Regions from separate parts of the Mus musculus genome. Here region 1 is reported to be linked to region 2. Evidence: microRNA targets listed by miRTarBase, many of them from high-throughput screens and not tested one by one. Region 2 holds a microRNA gene; the other region holds the end of a gene's coding sequence.
Evidence for each region. Region 2 holds the annotated microRNA mmu-miR-301a-3p (CAGUGCAAUAGUAUUGUCAAAGC, at 2,884-2,906, opposite strand). A microRNA usually pairs through its seed, bases 2 to 8, with sites in the 3' UTR of a target mRNA and lowers its output. Matches are read on the target gene's strand: a 7mer-m8 pairs with bases 2 to 8, a 7mer-A1 pairs with bases 2 to 7 and ends in A, and an 8mer does both.

Region 1: miRTarBase lists Fgfr1op2 as a target of mmu-miR-301a-3p. Seed matches in the 3' UTR shown: 7mer-m8 at 7,742-7,748.

Annotation. Positions count from the first base shown.
Region 1 is chr6:146,593,367-146,606,177 of GRCm38, reverse strand. It overlaps Fgfr1op2 (FGFR1 oncogene partner 2), which reads right to left. Exons shown (of 7, transcript NM_026218.2): 6 at 10,889-11,002; 7 at 6,980-8,883. The coding sequence ends at 8,746. Tm7sf3 (transmembrane 7 superfamily member 3) reads left to right here. Exons shown (of 12, transcript NM_026281.2): 11 at 1-50; 12 at 2,157-3,902. The coding sequence ends at 2,419. Among named protein-coding and RNA genes, the nearest start is that of Fgfr1op2, 22 kb to the right of the region's middle.
Region 2 is chr11:87,111,960-87,115,959 of GRCm38, reverse strand. It overlaps Mir301 (microRNA 301), which reads right to left and starts at 2,956; the gene lies at 2,871-2,956. All of the region lies in intron 1 of Ska2 (spindle and kinetochore associated complex subunit 2), which reads right to left.

The sequences.
Region 1 (12,811 bases), not on the chromosome of region 2:
CAACACAGATTTCCGAGGGGCTGTCATTAGAGTGCCTTTCCAGACCAACGGTAAGACACTGGACTGATGGCTAAATAGGCGTGCTGACTAACCCACCCACCCTAACAGGAACACATAAGCATCACCTGGGGCTGAAAGAGGAGCCATGGTACAGATGCCATGAGAGCACTCTGCCAGTAACTAAAGGACTGAAATGTCTAAGGTACTGGGTACTCATCCTTCCAAACATCTGAGTGGACTTTGCTAGCTGGGCTTGCTTACCTGTCCATTCTCAGATGGGGACCCTGTTTGGCATCTATCCGGTGAGGAATGAGAGTCGCACCGGATTTAATTAACTGTGTCCCTTTGTTTCTTCACTTCAATGAAGATGTGGTTTATTTTCAATTAGTGATCAAATCATTACCTTAATTAGAAGATTCTGTTCATTATTGAGTTTCTATTTTAATTTGACCTCTTGGAGACAGGTTCTCTCTAGCCTAGGCTAGCCTCAAATTAACACTGATCCTCCTGTCTCTACCTTCCCTGAGATGTTGAGTGTGGACCCCAACATGTGGCTTGTGTTAACGCTTTAAAGGAAAGAACACACTACATATTTACAGAGTTTTCAAACTGTGTTGATTTCAGACAAGTTTAAAGACATAGGGTAGAGAAGCATGTCTCAGAATTGGGATGTAGCAACTGTGACTGTTAAGATTTTTTTTTTAGGGCAAATCTTTGCCTCTACTTAGAGACAATAATCAAGATCTTCCCCTTGGGATGAGAGGTCAGACGTGGAGACCTTGCGCTCAGAGATTTTTCTCCCTGGGGGTGTGGGGTCTAAGGAAGTGTCTACCCATGACCTTCTAAGGTCTCAACCTAAGGTTGGTTCCACCAGAGTTCCCTGTGAGAAGCAGTGAGTTTATTGGGCTTAATTAGAGTCTGGGGAAGAGGTTGTCTTTAAGAGCTTGGGTGAGCCCAAGGCAGCCACACTGGAAAGTCTGCACACAGTCCAGGCAATGGCATTCCCAGAGCTATGTCTTTGTTGGATGCTTGGTGGAATCTGGGGTGTCAACTCACATTGTCTTGCGTCCCATCCATGTAAGCATCCAACCCCCCTGGGAGTATGTAGAGAGTAGCTAGGGCAGCCATGTCTGCAGGCACTGCACATGGAAGCTCCAGGAAGCTACACAGCCAGCTTTCACTCCCTGCTTCAACTTTCTGGATGTCTGTAGTAGAAGAAGCTACTGTCGTGTCTCCTTGTGCCTTGGCTTGTAAGTGAGGAGATACATTTGGACATATGTCCAAAATTGAAAGGAAGACATGCATTTAGCACGTGAAGGGGAAGCGCTGGTGCACACTAAATGTTAAACAGTTCAGAACCAGGCGTGTTCCTACACAGCTTCACTCCTAGCACTCAGGAAACTGAAGCAGGAGGATGGCCACAAATTTGAGGCCAGCAAGGGCTCATAGTGAGTTCCAGGTCAGGACTGACTATGGAATTAAGACCACCATCTTGAAAAATTAAAAAAATAAAAGAATAAAAGGGTGTGAGGGAGGAAAGAGAGAAAAGGAACAAGGAAAGAGAAAGAAAAAGAAGTTGGGGCCAGGATGGGTGGCTCAGTGGGTAAGGTGCTTGCTCTGTGTTGTGAGGACCCAAGTTCAGATCCCCAAGTAAAAAGCCGGCGTGAGCCGGGCAGTGGTGGCGCACACCTTTAATCCCAGCACTTGGGAGGCAGAGGCAGGTGGATTTCTGAGTTCAAGGCCAGCCTGGTCTACAAAGTGAGTTCCAGGTCAGCCAGGGCTATACAGAGAAACCCTGTCTTGAAAAACAAAATAACAAAACAAAACAAAACGCTGAGTGTGAGAGCGTGCATAAGCAACTACAGTTAGCGGGGCTTGCTGGTTCAATGGGACAGGCGCCTGTCCAAACAGTAAGATGGAGAGCAACAGAGGAGCAATAGGAGAGGACACTTGCCACCCACACTGGCCTCCACACACACCACACAAAAACTGCTGACTTGATGGCGCATGTCTATAATCTTGGTATTCAATAGAAGGCAGGAGGATTGCCATAAGTTTAGGGCTAGTCTGGGCTATATCTTGAGACATATACTGAAAAGCAAAACCAACCCACAACACAGAATCCCCTGAGTACAAAGGATACTTCTCTCCTTTAGACTACATCATCCTGGCCGTGTGGGGGATGCTGGCTGTCAGTGGAATTACACTTCAGATTCGAAGAGAAAGAGGACAGCCGCCTTTCCCTCCCCACCCCTACAAGCTATGGAAGCAAGAGAGAGAACGCAGAGTGACCAACATCCTGGACCCCAGCCATCACATCCCTCCCCTGAGAGAGAGGCTTTATGGTCGGGTTGCTCGGATCAAAGAGCTCTTCCAGAAGGAACAGCCGGCTGGAGAGAGGACACCCTTGCTTCTGTAGAAGGCTGAGGGTCAGTGTGCTTGCCCTGGAGTTCTCGTCTAGACTGCCCAGTTGTCCCAGGTCCATGCAGGGCCAGCCAGGGTGGGTGACAGGGTGACGCCCCCGTGGATGTACAGCAGTGGAGTTAGAGGATTCTAAGTGATATGGTGAGAAAAGTCTCCAAAAAGTTGGCCGTAGATGTTTTTCCTCATTTTCCACAGTCTTGAGAAGTTACCTTTTGATGATTGATGTCTTTTATAAAATACACCAAAAAATAAAAATGTCTCCTTGAAGCCCTAGTGTTTTGTTCTTGTAGCTTCTTGGACAGTTATGACTCAGTCAGAACCTGTGGAGGGGAGGCAGGCAGTGGGTATTTATTCGCTTTGTGTGTAGAAGTTTAGGGATTTGATTTGGGTCCTTGAATGTCAAGACTAAGGGAAAAGTAACCCCCCTTTTCCTTAAAAGCAGTCTGATTATATTTGGCTGCATCTTATAATAAAATCAGGAACCCTTTTCATTTATTTTCAATATTCAAACGATTTATTTTAAAAACTGGCAAATTATCCTAACACGTAACAATGTAGATTTCCTGTTGTTTTGCCAGTTAGTGCTTTAAGTGGTAAATAACTAAATTTTTTCTGTAATCTAAAATAGCTCAGTTTATTAAAGATAATAAAACTTTTATATGAGTAAGTTATTTATAGCCCATTTTGTGTTGGGGCCATTTAGAGCAGTGTTGGCTGCTGACCCTTCTTTCTTAGGTTGCATTAGACGGTGACTGGACCGTATTTTGTCAGAGAGACATCAATGAGACCTTCCTAGCACCTGTGAAGTTGTGCTAATGATTGCTCTGTATAATCAAAGCCCCTGTGCTCTGAAGCTCAGAGGGATTGATCACTTAGCCACCACCATGGGTTCTGTAAGGAGGGACATGCTCTTGACTCCTCTGAACGGCAGGGCTGAGAACTGGCTTCCCTGACGTGTGTGGCCCACAGTGCGCTGGTTTGTCAGTGGTGTGCTTCTTAGTCTCTTCACAGCAATGACTATAGCCTTGACATTTCAGGGAGTGGGTGGAGTCTTCAGTTGTGGCTTTGAAAAAAGGTTCTGAAGTTAAAACATAATGAAAAATTATAAAATGAACCCCTTTTGGTTTATTTCTGAAAATCCTATTCTGTTATTACTACCTAGCTTCAGCAATATATATATATATTTTAATTGCTATAGGGTTTCTGGCTTGTCACATGCTTGCATTTTAGTTGTACAGATTGTTGGAGAACTATTCTTTGTACTGTCGGAACACACTGCCAGTCAGAGCTAAAAAAGGCAGAGTATGCTTTCTCGGAGGGAAATACAAAATATTTGTAAATTTTCATAATTTTTAATACCATTTGTATAATTTTTGTAATAAATACCTACTTTGAAAAAAATGCTTAATGTCCTCCTTATTAGGATGTCTCCAGGAGTTTATACCAGTCTTGTATGTACTTATATAAATTTAATCTGGAAAATACAGTTGTTTTAAGAACTTCACTTAAGGATAACAGGAAGTGAAGGGAATCCAGGGTGATATGTTATGGTTTATGTAGATTTAAATGTATTTACTCATTTTTTTTCATTATTTATTGACTTTACATCCCAATATCAGCCCCCCCCTCCCACAGCTCCTTCCCCCATCCCCTATTCTTCTCCTCAGAGGAGGAGGTCCTTTGGCTATCACCCCACCCTGGAACATCAAGTCATTGCAGGACTAGGCGCAGCTCATTGAGGCCAGACAAGGCAGCCCAGCTGGGGGAATAGAATCCACAGACAGGCAAGAGTCAGGGTAAGCCTTCCCCGCTCCACTCTGCTCCATTTGTTGGAGACCAAGCTGCACATCTGCACATATGTGTGGAGGGCCTAGGTCCAGCCCATGCTTGCTCTTTTGGTGGTGAATCAGTTTCTGGGAGCCCCCAGGGTCCAGGTGTGTTGACTCTGTTGGTCTTCCTGTCGAGTTCCTATCCCCTTTGAGCCCATCAGTACCTCAACACTTCTACAAGACTCCCTGTGCTTCATGTAACCATCTAATGTTTGGCTGTGGGTCTCTGCATCTCTTTCCATTGGCTTCTGGGTGGGACCTCTCAGAGGACAGTAATGCTAGGCTCCTGTCTGCAAGCATAAACAGAGCATCATTAATTAGTGTCAGGGACTGGTGGTTCTTGCCCATGGGATGGGTCTCAAGTTGGGCCATTCCCTTAGTCTCGCTCCATCTTTGTACACATCTTGTAGGTAGGACAAGTTTTGGGCTAAAGTTTTGTGTGTGGGTTGTTGGGAGTCCTGACTGGCTATAGGAGGTAGCCAATTCAGGCTCCATATCTCCCGCCACTATGAGTCTCAGCTAGTTACCCCCATAGACTCTCTAGCAGGTCCTGGAGATGCCCTGCCACTGCTCACCACCAATTTCTGTTCTCTTGTTTGCTCTCCCTACACCTGATTCCTACCCCCACCCCCACCCCGTTGCTTCCCCCATCCCCTTACCCAGTCAGTTCCCTCCCTCCATCCACCTCCAATATCTAATCTTCCCTAATACAGAACTAAACTGATGAGGATGTGGAGAAACATTCCTCCTTTGCTGGCTGGAGTGCAAACCTTTACAACCACTCTGGGAATCAGTTTGGTGGTTTCTCAGAAAATTGGAAATAGTTCTACCAGAAGACCCAGCTATACCGCTCTTGGGCACATATCCCAAAAGATGCTCCACCATACCACAAGGACACTTGCTCAACCATGTTCATAGCAGCCTTATTTGTAATAGCTGCTAGATGTCCCTCAACTGGGGAATGGATAAAGAAAATGTGGTTCATTCACAAATGGCCCAGGGAGTAAAGGCACCTGACCTCAAATCTGGAGACCTGAAGTCAGTCCCTGCAGCTCATAAAGGTGGAAGGAGAGGACTGTTGCCACAGAATCATCTTCTGGTCTCCAGAGCATGTGCCAAGGCATGTGTGCACTGTGGCATGTGTCCCACATGCACAGACAACTATTTATATTTAAACAATTCCTGTACAATTTCAGCTGTTCGTACATACACCTTAAAAAATAACTAGGCAGGTTTCTGACCCAGAGGAAATGTACAGTAAGTTCTGGGTCGGGAATGAGGTTGTGGGAAGAGACTGACTGGCTAGTTATATTTGTGGTTACACCTTCACTCTCCTTTAAAGATAAAGGGTAAAGATGAATGTGGCCTGGCCTGAGGATGTGCTCTGTGGTAAAGACTGTGCAAGGCCCTGCCAGGTTCTAGCTCAAATGCCTTCTCCAGATAAGAATAAGAGCTATTAAATATCTAGTGATTTAAACAAGACTCACAGCACATACAGAGGTATATATGGAATGCCTACACTGTACTGTTTTGTTTTTTTTAAATCTTCAATTTGAGTATCCACACAGATGGGAAGCAAAGGAGGCTCAGCTTAAAGCAAGCACTGGGGAAACCAGGTTAAGCACATGGGCTTGCTGAAGAAATGAATGGAGCCTAGTCACCAGAATGCTGGAGTCAAAGTGGCCAAGCCTGCTGATCCAAGTCAGCCTCCACCTGAATTTCCCCAGGATCCTGAGAACTGTTTAGGCCCTAATTCTAGGCTTTGTCACAGTGCTTTTTGTATAAGTTCGAGGAATACAAGAGCAGGCCCTCATATTTGTAGAGCAAGCACTGTCTCAACTGAGCCACCTCCCAAGCCCTGTAGGTGTGTAACTTAACACTTTTATTATGTGGCCTTTGGTTTTTCTGTTGCTTTATACTACACCAAGTGTCCTGACAATGATTTCTTAGTTTTTGTTTTTGTTCTTTTTTTTTTTTTTTGGAGACATGGTTTAGCCCTGGGTGTCCTAGAATTCATTTTGTCTACTAGGCTAGCCTCAAACTCCCAGAGATCCACCTGCTTCAGCCACACAAGTGCTGGGATCAAAGGTGTGTGCCACCACTGCCTAGCCTAAGGGTGAATGTTATTATCTACTCTGCTGTGGCTTGGACTAGGGCTAGCAGGTATGTTCCTGCATAAACAGCCAGCAGGACGTGCTAACAAATTCAATGCAAGATATAAAAGAAACTAAAGTCTAAGGTGCCCTGCAAGGATGGGGAACACTTTAGAAGTTTGGGGATGAGGAGTTTGGCTTTGGGCAATTTCAGCCTGAAATGTCTCTATGGTAGTTACACACAGATTAGTGTGGAGGTTATGAGAACTCTAAGCAGGAGCTGTAAGTCTGAGAGTCTGAGAGTCCCGGGGCATTAAAATATTATGCAGGTTATAGACTGGGTGAGACCTTGGAAAAATTGAGGGGAGTCACAGCACTATACAGGAATAAGGCATGTTATGTGCACAAACACACATGCACTCACATACCCACAAATGCACTGGCACAAACAGCCCCTCCCTCTACCCGCCCCCCCCCCCCCCAAATAGGCTGAAGAGCTGAGTATGCAGCTTAGAAGAGCTCTTGTATATAAAGTTCTGGGTTTAAACCCTAGCACCACCTATCCCCTCAGCAAAGACACAAAGTATATTTAAGAAATGTGAGCTTTGTTTTTAAATTAACCCTGAGACCAGACCAGTTTTAAACACTCATCTTTATTGACAAAATAGGCTCCTCTTCAGCACACTCTCATATGTAAGCTTAAAGCTGTTTATTTTGGGGATGGGGGTGGGGTGGAAAACTTGCTAAAAACAAAGCAAATGTCTTTCAATATTCACAACCTTAAAATTATATCCAAGAAAACAAAGGATAAATAATTTTTTATAAAAATAATTACTTCTCAAATAACGTTTCACAATAGACCTGCTCAATACATCGATCTGACTCATCTCGTCTGTGCCGCTTTTCTTCTTTTTAAAATTCTGGCCTGGGACAAAACTACATGAAAGAAAGTACCATTAAATTAAGGGTTACTTTCCAAAAAACAATAGAAAAATCTTAAAAGTAAATTCACTTATATATAAAATATTAAGGCCTCTGCATGAGAACGGTTTAACATCTGGGGAACTGGCCCTTTCCTAACTGACCTATGACCCCACTCACCTCAAACTTCAGAATGAAAGGTTCTGGAGTGAAAAGTCCTTTTAATTTTGCCAATACATGAAATTACACATAAAATTACACTGCAAAGTAATATGTACTTAACAAATGATATATTGAAAAGTCTAACTTTCTGTCTGTGCTAATTTCAGTATGGACTTCAGATACAAGTATAGTGTATTTTCAGCCATATCTCATAATCTTTTATTCTTATCACTACAGAAAAGTTTAGGTTGCAGTTGGTATGAAAGCACACTTCTGTATCCTGTGGCCTTAAGAAGCTTTTTTTTTTTTTAAAGTGCAAAGCACAATCCCTTTGTGTCCACACTTCACTGCCAGTTTCTGAGTCACAGGTTGTAGGAAAAACCTCACAGGTTATAAGAACTAGATGAGGCTTAGACTCAGACTCAGAACTTTGATTTTTGGAACCTGTATCTACTTTGTAAGTGTATGAAGAGTAATTTCTTAAATAACAATAAAGGAATTCCAAATTAACTTGGAAATGACCATACCTATCTCATTACATTAAATTGTCAACTCTTGTCTATTGGTGAACTGTCTTGTATCCTTAAACATGATGAAAAGAGGAGGAAGAACCAGGTTCATTGTTAACAGAGAACCAAAACATAATCTTTCAAAGTAGTTCAACCTACTAAATGTGTCTATATATGGCTGTCTTTCTTAGAAAGTATATTCTTTGTCTTTCTTTCCTGAGATGCATACACTTAAGCAAGTCGTGAATAACTGCTAGCTAAGAGTTATGGGAATTAGGTGTAAGTATGTTCCTTCTGTTTGTGATGCAAGTGACGTATTCCTATAGTCTTTAAACATGAACTGCCTTTGATGAGGGCCGAGCAAATGGGCAGGTGAGCACCAACTCAGCAGCTTTATGTACACAAGCTATGCCAACTCTGACACTGAACAGGAAGGTAAGACTTAGAACAAAGTCTTCCATTCAGAAAACCACACCAACCTTACTTTTAAAATTGTGATAATTTAGGCTTTCCAACATTTATTAGGAGTATTCAGGGTGATCTATGTAGCATCTAAGAAGCCAACAGCACTTCTGAAACTGCAGTGCTCAGCAGCACCTTGAAGACTCGCTGTTCACTCTGTGGCTCAGCGTCTCCTTTCTGACTGTGACTGGGATCTAGTTTATGACCACTGGTTATACATTCTGCTGCCGTCTCTTTGCCAGTGTCCCTGTACATACCAGACGGAAAAGGCTGACTGAAGTTGGGCTTTATGTTCACTCATCCACTCACTTCTGGGCCCATTCTAGTGACCGCACAGAAAGCCACTCAGCTCTTCCTCAGACTCAGGTCACTGTTAGTCACTAAGGCAGATAGAGACGTACTCTCTGACGCATCATCCTTCCGAAGGTTCAAAAAGGATTCTCGAGTTATCTGAAGGATCTCTCTCAAGCCTTTATTTTCTTGCTGTAAGAAAATAAGGAAAACCCAAGATGAGAAACATGCAGAAACAGAAACTGCTGGTTTGGCTGAGTCCCTTAAGACAGCTCCAAGAGGGATACATATTTTAAAAGCCAATTTTATGAAGTGTGGCACAGAAAGCAGACTCTATAACACATAAATGGATAGATATACTATGAGTTACAGGCAGTCACAACCTCAATCTAAACAGATTTCAAAGCCTGGTGTGGTGACACCTGCCTTTAATCCCAGCAGTTGGTAGGCAAAGGCAGGGGGATCTCTATGAATCTGAGGGCTTTCTAGTTTGCATGAGGGTTCTAGGCCAGCCAGGGCTACACAGTGAGACTTGATCTAAGAAACAAAAGACAAAGCCAGATTTCAAATGGTGTTTAAGATGCAGCATCAGTACTCAGCCTCCTCACTGCTGGAAGCCTTAAGGTGTGCAGAGGCAACAGGTGACCAGGCAGAAATCAGCTTGTTCTGCACAGACTGGAGATGATATGTGTGTATATAAAATACCCATCTACACTCGCGCTAGGGATAAGTTTATATGACTAAGACTTTGAGGTAGATTTCATCACTCAATAGAAGTTAGTAGGTATGTTTCCCTCAGCAAAATTTAAGTTCAGCCAAGACCAGCTGAGGTAATTATTTTTCAGAAAGATATGTAAATGGTTAATATTGTAAGCAATTTTGTCATTTTATAATCTATTCTCTACAGCTGTTGTGGGCTTACTTTTCAAGTCTCAATGGTCTGGCCCAAGGGTTGTTTCTGAGCATAGTTCTGACTTTCTCCTTTTGCATTACCACAACGAAGTTGAGCAGATATAAACTGACTAGTTTGCAAAGTCCAAAATGCTTTCTGGTCCTTTGCTGAGAAAGCTGACCTACCCTTATTATATAAATGGGAGAGTACTATATGCTCCAAGACAGGTAGGTTTTATGGCCATCCATAGGAAATTTCCTGATCATGATTCCAAGCAAATTGATTTAAATTGTATTTTCTGGGTGTATCTGTTCTATGTGTGTATGTACATTTGAAGACAAAAAGCTGAAGCCAGGAGTCTTCCTCTGTTGCAATCTACTTTCTTTTTTGAGATAGGGTTTCTTTTTTTTTTTTTGAGACAGGGTTTCTCTGTGTAGCCCTGGCTGTCCTGGAACTCACTTTGTAGACCAGGCTGGCCTCGAACTCAGAAATCCGCCTGCCTCTGCCTCCCGAGTGCTGGGATTAAAGGCGTGCACCACCACACCCGGCTGAGATGGGGTTTCCTGTTGAACCTGGAACTTACTGTTCCAGCTAGCCATTGTACCTGACCTTTACAATGGTGTTGGATCCAGAGTCAGGTCCTCCTGCTTCATAGTTAAGCTGTTTACCCACTGGAGAGCTGAGGCTAACCTTCCTGATCCTCCTGCCTCTCCTTCCCAAGTGCTAGAATTAAAGGAGCACCACGCCTGGCATTATTTGTGCATTATAATTTTTTTATATCATTATGATCTCTAGCACAAAGAACTGAAATTTTAAAATTATGAAATTGAAGAAATTCATATATATGTGAATGAATTCATATGCATATATTTCTTCAATTTCATAATTTTAAAAACTCAGATATATATGAACACAATGCAGAATCAAAACTCAACCTTTTCTTTTCAAGACAGGGTTTCTCTGTGCAGCTCTGACTGTCCGGGAACTCGCGCTGTAGACCAGGCTGGCCTTGAACTCAGAAATCCGCCTGCTTCTCTCTCTCAAATGCTGGGATTAAAGGCGAGTGCCACTATGCCTAGTTTAACAATCAACTTTGTCAGCTACTGGTATACTTATGCATCCCTGCGGACCCCAGACTCTGACATTACTACCCAGTGGTCTATTCCACTGGCTGTTACCAGCATTCAGATTCAGAACTCATGACCACCAACTTAAAGAGTGTGGGTGTTAAGACTGGAATGTTCTCTGGTTGAATGTTTTCAGCCATACTTTCAACCCATATTTGATTTAAAGTTTAAAACTCACTTCAAGTTGAAATATCCGCTCCTGTTCCTTGCAACCCTGCTGCTCGTCAATTTCAATAGCTTTTCTCATTACTGCTGCCATCTCGGTGATTTGGTCAACATGTGCTTGCAACTCCTGGAAGAAAGGGTGGATGTGGAGATGAGAGGAAGACTTTACTAGGTTTGAGTTGTCTCTTTTGATAGAACCGCACTGCCACCTAACAAAAGTGTGATGTCCTTATGTGGCCTCTTAACATGAATCATAACAAACTGGTGGACATCAGGTGTTAAGATTAGTATTAAGGATATGTATCGCAATATAACTCAACCCCATAGCAAAATACTTATTCACATTTATCACAATGACCAGGAAGATTTCTTTTTCACATCTACATGTACTGTGGTAAAAGGGGAAAGATTAAAAACTGTTGGCACACATGCTATTTCTTCTTCCCTGAAGTCTGCGTGACTCAGTCTCCTCTGTAGTATTAATGCATATAAGCTGATTCAACTCAACCAATCCTCCTTGAGAGTAAGAAGAATATTGTTTACATCCGTCTGTTACTTATCTAGTGTTTGTTGTTTAAGAATTATTATGTAAAATGAACAAAGTGCTATGGAGTATTAAAACACAAAGTGGCATTTTTTTCCCACGTGATGAAAATAGAATTAATTTCACTATATTAGATACCCATATTATCAGTTTTACAATTTCTTTCAATCTCATTCCTTGTTTTTTACATATCTATGATGTGTCAAGCAGTAAGCCAGGCAACAGTTCCTCTCAATATACCTCCCCTAACCTTATGAGCTTTGTTCAGTAAAGGAGACAAAGGGGTTTAAAAATTGAACAGAAGCCTGAGAATAATCACCTTGCTAATATTAATACAAAAAAATAATGAAAAGTCAATGAAAAAAAATTCCAAATGAACATCAAGTCTTTTAGATAGTTGGATGGTTATAGAAAGGATTTGATCAAGACCTTAAAGAACCCACATAACTATTAAACTGCAAGAGCATCCTATCACTGAGCTACGCTCCAGTCCCACTGAATAATCTTGCATGTTTTTGGTTCTGGAGAATGAATCCAGGGCTACACCCTTAATGGAGGTTATACCTTTGTCTTAATGGAGAAATCTTTGTACATAGCACTCAGAAGACACAATAAAGAACTAATCTGCTTTGTCTAGTACAGTGCAATTAAAATAAAAACTAAGTACGTTAAAAATTAGTAATCCTGTCTCTCACTTGTACAACACTTTTAAGTGGTTAATGGTGATATGTGGATAAGTACCTTCCACATGATACACAGATACCCTCTATGGTCTACTGGACAGCCCTGGATTAGCCTGTGGTAGCAAAGCTGTTACCAAAGCAAGGAGTTACCATTGTCTGCCATACTGCAAGGTCACTAAGATGCCTGTTACAGAGGACACAGTACAGAAATTGAATAGCTGAATGATGGTAAGAAATTTTGAATACCAATGGCTTTCTCAGTTTATAATGTAGTCACAACTGTGGCACTAGCATAGGCTTAAAAGGAACATAGGAAGCCAATAATTTCTTGCCTTTAAAATGAATGAAATGAATGAAATGAAATGTTGATTTTTTAGTACTGTCTGTTTTTAGTTTTTAGTACTGTCTGTTTTAACAAGACCACCCGGAAGAAACAAAGCATACTTTGCATGAAATAGAGGCCCCGTGAACGACTTACTCACTAGCTGTGAGGGTCCCACTGCTTTTAAGGGACACAAAGCAAGAGCTATACGCTCTGAAGCCCAGGCACCAACACAGCTGTCTTGACACACTGCTCACTTCTATGTCTGTTTATTCCTACTCTGCAGCAACAAAACTTAAGACACAGGCAGAGAGCATCACTATGTACAGCTATGTCTGCACAAAAGGTTTTCCTATTTGTGAAATCAAACAAAAGGACTGCAAATAA
Region 2 (4,000 bases):
AGCATTTGGGAGGCAGAGACAAGGGGATCTCTTTACATTTGAGGCCATCTTGGTCTTCAGAGCAAGTTCCAGAACAGCCAAGGCTACAAAAAGTAACCCTGTCTCCAAAAACAGAAGTATGTACAAGCCAGGCAGCGCTGGCTCACCCCTCTGATCCCAGCACATGGGAGGCAAAGTTTGACAACTCTCCGTGAGTTTGAGGCCGAGTTCAGGACAGCCAGGGCTACAGGGAAAAACCCTGACTCCTGGGTGAAAAAAAATGAACAAAACCAAACAAGCTTATAAAGCAAACACTATCCATTCTACTCTATCAAAACCTAAGGCTGACTATGCTGGATGGCAACATGAATCAGCAGGTAATGTTGCCTGCAGGCATGCCTGATGACCCGAGTTCAAACCCAAGATCCACATGGTGAAAGGAAAGACTTAAGCTTGCTTTGGTTGTTCTGTGACAGGGTTTAATGTAAACCAGGTAGACCTAGGGCTGGCTACAGCAGAAAATAAGTTTGAAATCCTAATCCTCCGGTTTACCCCTCTGGAGTGGCTGGAATTAGAGAGGCCACCTTCACTATCAGGCAGAGGTAGGATCCAGTCCCAGGGCCTCTGGTATGCCTCACCAAGCTACATCCATCTGAGAACCTACCTGGTGAACTTTAGGCCTCTACATGTGCCAGGGGCATGTGCACCACCACACACATGCATTAGCTGTTTTATACAGGGCTGTGTTAAATCGTGTTAAGCTTTCATTTGGGGGTTGGAGAGAGAATTCAGTGGTTAAGAGAGCTCTTAGTCTTGCAGAGCATCTAGGTTTGTTCCATTCTCAGCATCCACATGATTGCTCAAAACCAACTCTGAGTTTCAGAAGATCCAGTACCCTCTTCTGGCTTCCACAAGCTCCTGCACACATGTGAAGGACAGTCTCAAGCAAGCACACACATACACATAAAGATATTAAATACTTTACCAAAAATTTTTCTTTTAAATTTGTTTGTTTGTGTGTCTATGTTTGCCTTGCCATGTGTGTAAAGGAACCCACAGAGGCCACAAGAGAGTGTACAATCCTCTCAAGTTGGAATCACAAACTAAACTGCCCAACCTGGGTGCTGAGCCGAGAAGCAAACTCCAGTCCTCTGGAAAACAAGAAGGTCTTTGACCCCAGAGCCATCACTCCAGCCCCCAAACCACAAATCTCCAAGAAAAAAAAATTAGTGACATTAGATTGAGAAAAAAAAATGTGCGCATGTGTCTGCAGTTTGTGTATGCACGTATGTACGTATACCATGTACCATGCATGGACAGGAAGACTTTAAGACATTAAAAAACATATATCAGTTGCAAATAAGCACATGAAAAATATTCAATATCACTAAGAGGACTATGGAAAAGATTTTATCAAACTGTTTTTGCCTTTTGTGTGTTGGTGTGATTTTTCAAGCCATGCGTTCCTGAAACTCACTCTGCAGACTAGGTCTCAAACTCAGAGATTCACCACCACCCCCGGCCCACCTCCCAAGTGATGGGATTAAAGGCTATGCCGCCACCCAGTTGATTTTAGCAACTTCTCCTAATAGTCCCATTTCCCAGTATTTACACAAAAGAAATAAGAAATTATGGCCACGTAAAGACAATGCTTCCAACAAATTTATTCATAACAGGCAAAGCCTGGAAACAACCCAAGAAACACTTTGTCAGACTTTATACAATGGAATATACTCAACAATAAAAATGAATCAATTATCAACACATGCAACAAAGGCAAGATGGCAAAAGCACTTACAGTAAGTACAAGAATGCAAAACTAAAAGAACAAATACTGTGCTGGCCCAGTCAGAGTTCACAAAAGCACTGTTTGGAAGGAGACTGCAGACAGACACAGAGACTTTTGAAATGAAATGTAATGAAAATGTTTTATTATCTTAGTAGTGGAGGGAGTTACATTATGTATACATTTGCCAAAACTCATCAGTGTACACTTACATTTTTAGTTTTACTTACATAAAATGTGCATTAAACTTATTACCAAAAAGTGATGACTTCTGTATGGACAAAAGGATATACTGTGTGACACAATGTGACATACTCCAGCTTCTATGACAAGATTTTTTAATTCTATCTTTATTTTGTTTTGAGGAGGAAGTTGCAAGGGCAGAAAGCCGATACTAAGGGATGGGAAAATGAGTGGAATTGGAGGGCTGGGGTGCATGATGTGAAATTCACAGCCAATAAAAGTTTTTTTTAAAGTGATTTATATTTTATAGTTACAATAATCAAGCCTTTCTAAGTTTTAAGGATTTTATTATTCTGTGTTTGTATCAGTGTGTGTGTTTGTATTTGTGTGCCTGCAGAGACCAGAAGACAGCACGAAACTGCCTGGAGCTAGAGTTACAAGTGGCTGAGAGTGGCTACTAGATGTGGGTGCCGGGAAGGAAACTCAGGTCCTCTGTAGTGTTAACTGCTGGACCATCTCTCTAGTCCCCTCCCAAAGTGTTAAATTTAAGCATTTCTAATATAATACTAAAATGGACACTAAGATGTAAACCATTACCATAGTAAATAGACATGAGAGACTATCACTTACCAACTCATATAATAAGACCGAAGAGTTCCCAGAACCTATTCAAGTCTATTACAAAAAGAAGCAAATTACAAAGTACTATTCAGTTAGACAGGCCATTACTTCACAGCGTACAGTAATGAATTTTCAGTGCCATACAGAAATGATAAATGTTAATTTAATGATATTTTTTCAAATGATGACTTTCTAAAAAATATACATAGTAACAAAATTATACAGTTTTCCACACTGAAAGTTATAGAAACCTTTTCACAAATACTGAAGATGTAAGACAAGAACCAGGAAAGGTGTGCAACCTGCTCGCGGATGCTTTGACAATACTATTGCACTGCTCGCTGTAAAGTACAGTAGTGCAATAAAGTCAGAGCAGCCGTTAGCAGGAGTGAGCAGGAAAGGAATGCAAGGCTCAGTGTGCAAAGACCTTAAAGTTGAGTTGCCATTTTAGTCAGAAGACATCCAAAACCTAAAAACATTTATACCAGTATATTTTTGGAAGGGCAAAGGACCAAAGTGATAATTGGTTTTTGTTGACTAACCTGAAATTAGCAGCATTCAGACATAAACATGCACAGATGTAAAGGAATTTTGTAATATGTCCTGAGCCTTTAGTAGCTAACATGGGCATCATAAAAACTTTATAATTGATATTAACAAAATCAGCTGTAATTACTACTAAGGCAAATATGTGAAAAACTATGTTTTTTGCCTAAATGTAATGTTGGTTAACTCCTTTTCCAAAGCGTCTGGGTTACCTACCATAGAAAACAAGTCCTTTGAGTAATTACTTCAAAAAACAAATGAAAAGGATTCAGTGGTTAAGAGTATTTGTTCTTGGGTCCGAGTCCTAGCACACACTTGGTGGCTCAAAATCATCCATGAAGAGTTCCACAGGATCCAATGCCCTCTTCTGACTTCCTCAGGCACCAGGCACAAATGTGGTGCCGTCACAAACATGCAGGCAAAACACTCATATTCATAAAATAAATCTCAATAGAAAAAGAGAAATATACCTCTCTCAAACCTATATACCCAGTTGATCTCTATAGAATTTACTCACATGCACACATGTGCACACACACAAACACACTTAGGCAGCACTTAAATCTTGTGCTTTGGGGCTGGAAAGAGATCTCAGAAGTTAAGGGCAATGGTTGTTCTTCCACAGGTCCTGAGTTCTATTCCCAGCAACCACATGGTGGCTCACAACCCTCTGTTATGGGATCCGATGCCCTCTTCTGCTGTGTCTGAAGAGAGACAGTATACTCGCATACATAAAATAAACAAATCTTTTTTAAAAAAATCTTATTTTTTTTTTAATTCAAGAGTTTATTGAAGGCTACTATAACATGGGAAGCGATTATCAGGGAACCAGTATATTCTGAAGATGATGTTAGCCCAGCCTCACCTTTCATTCTTAAAATATCT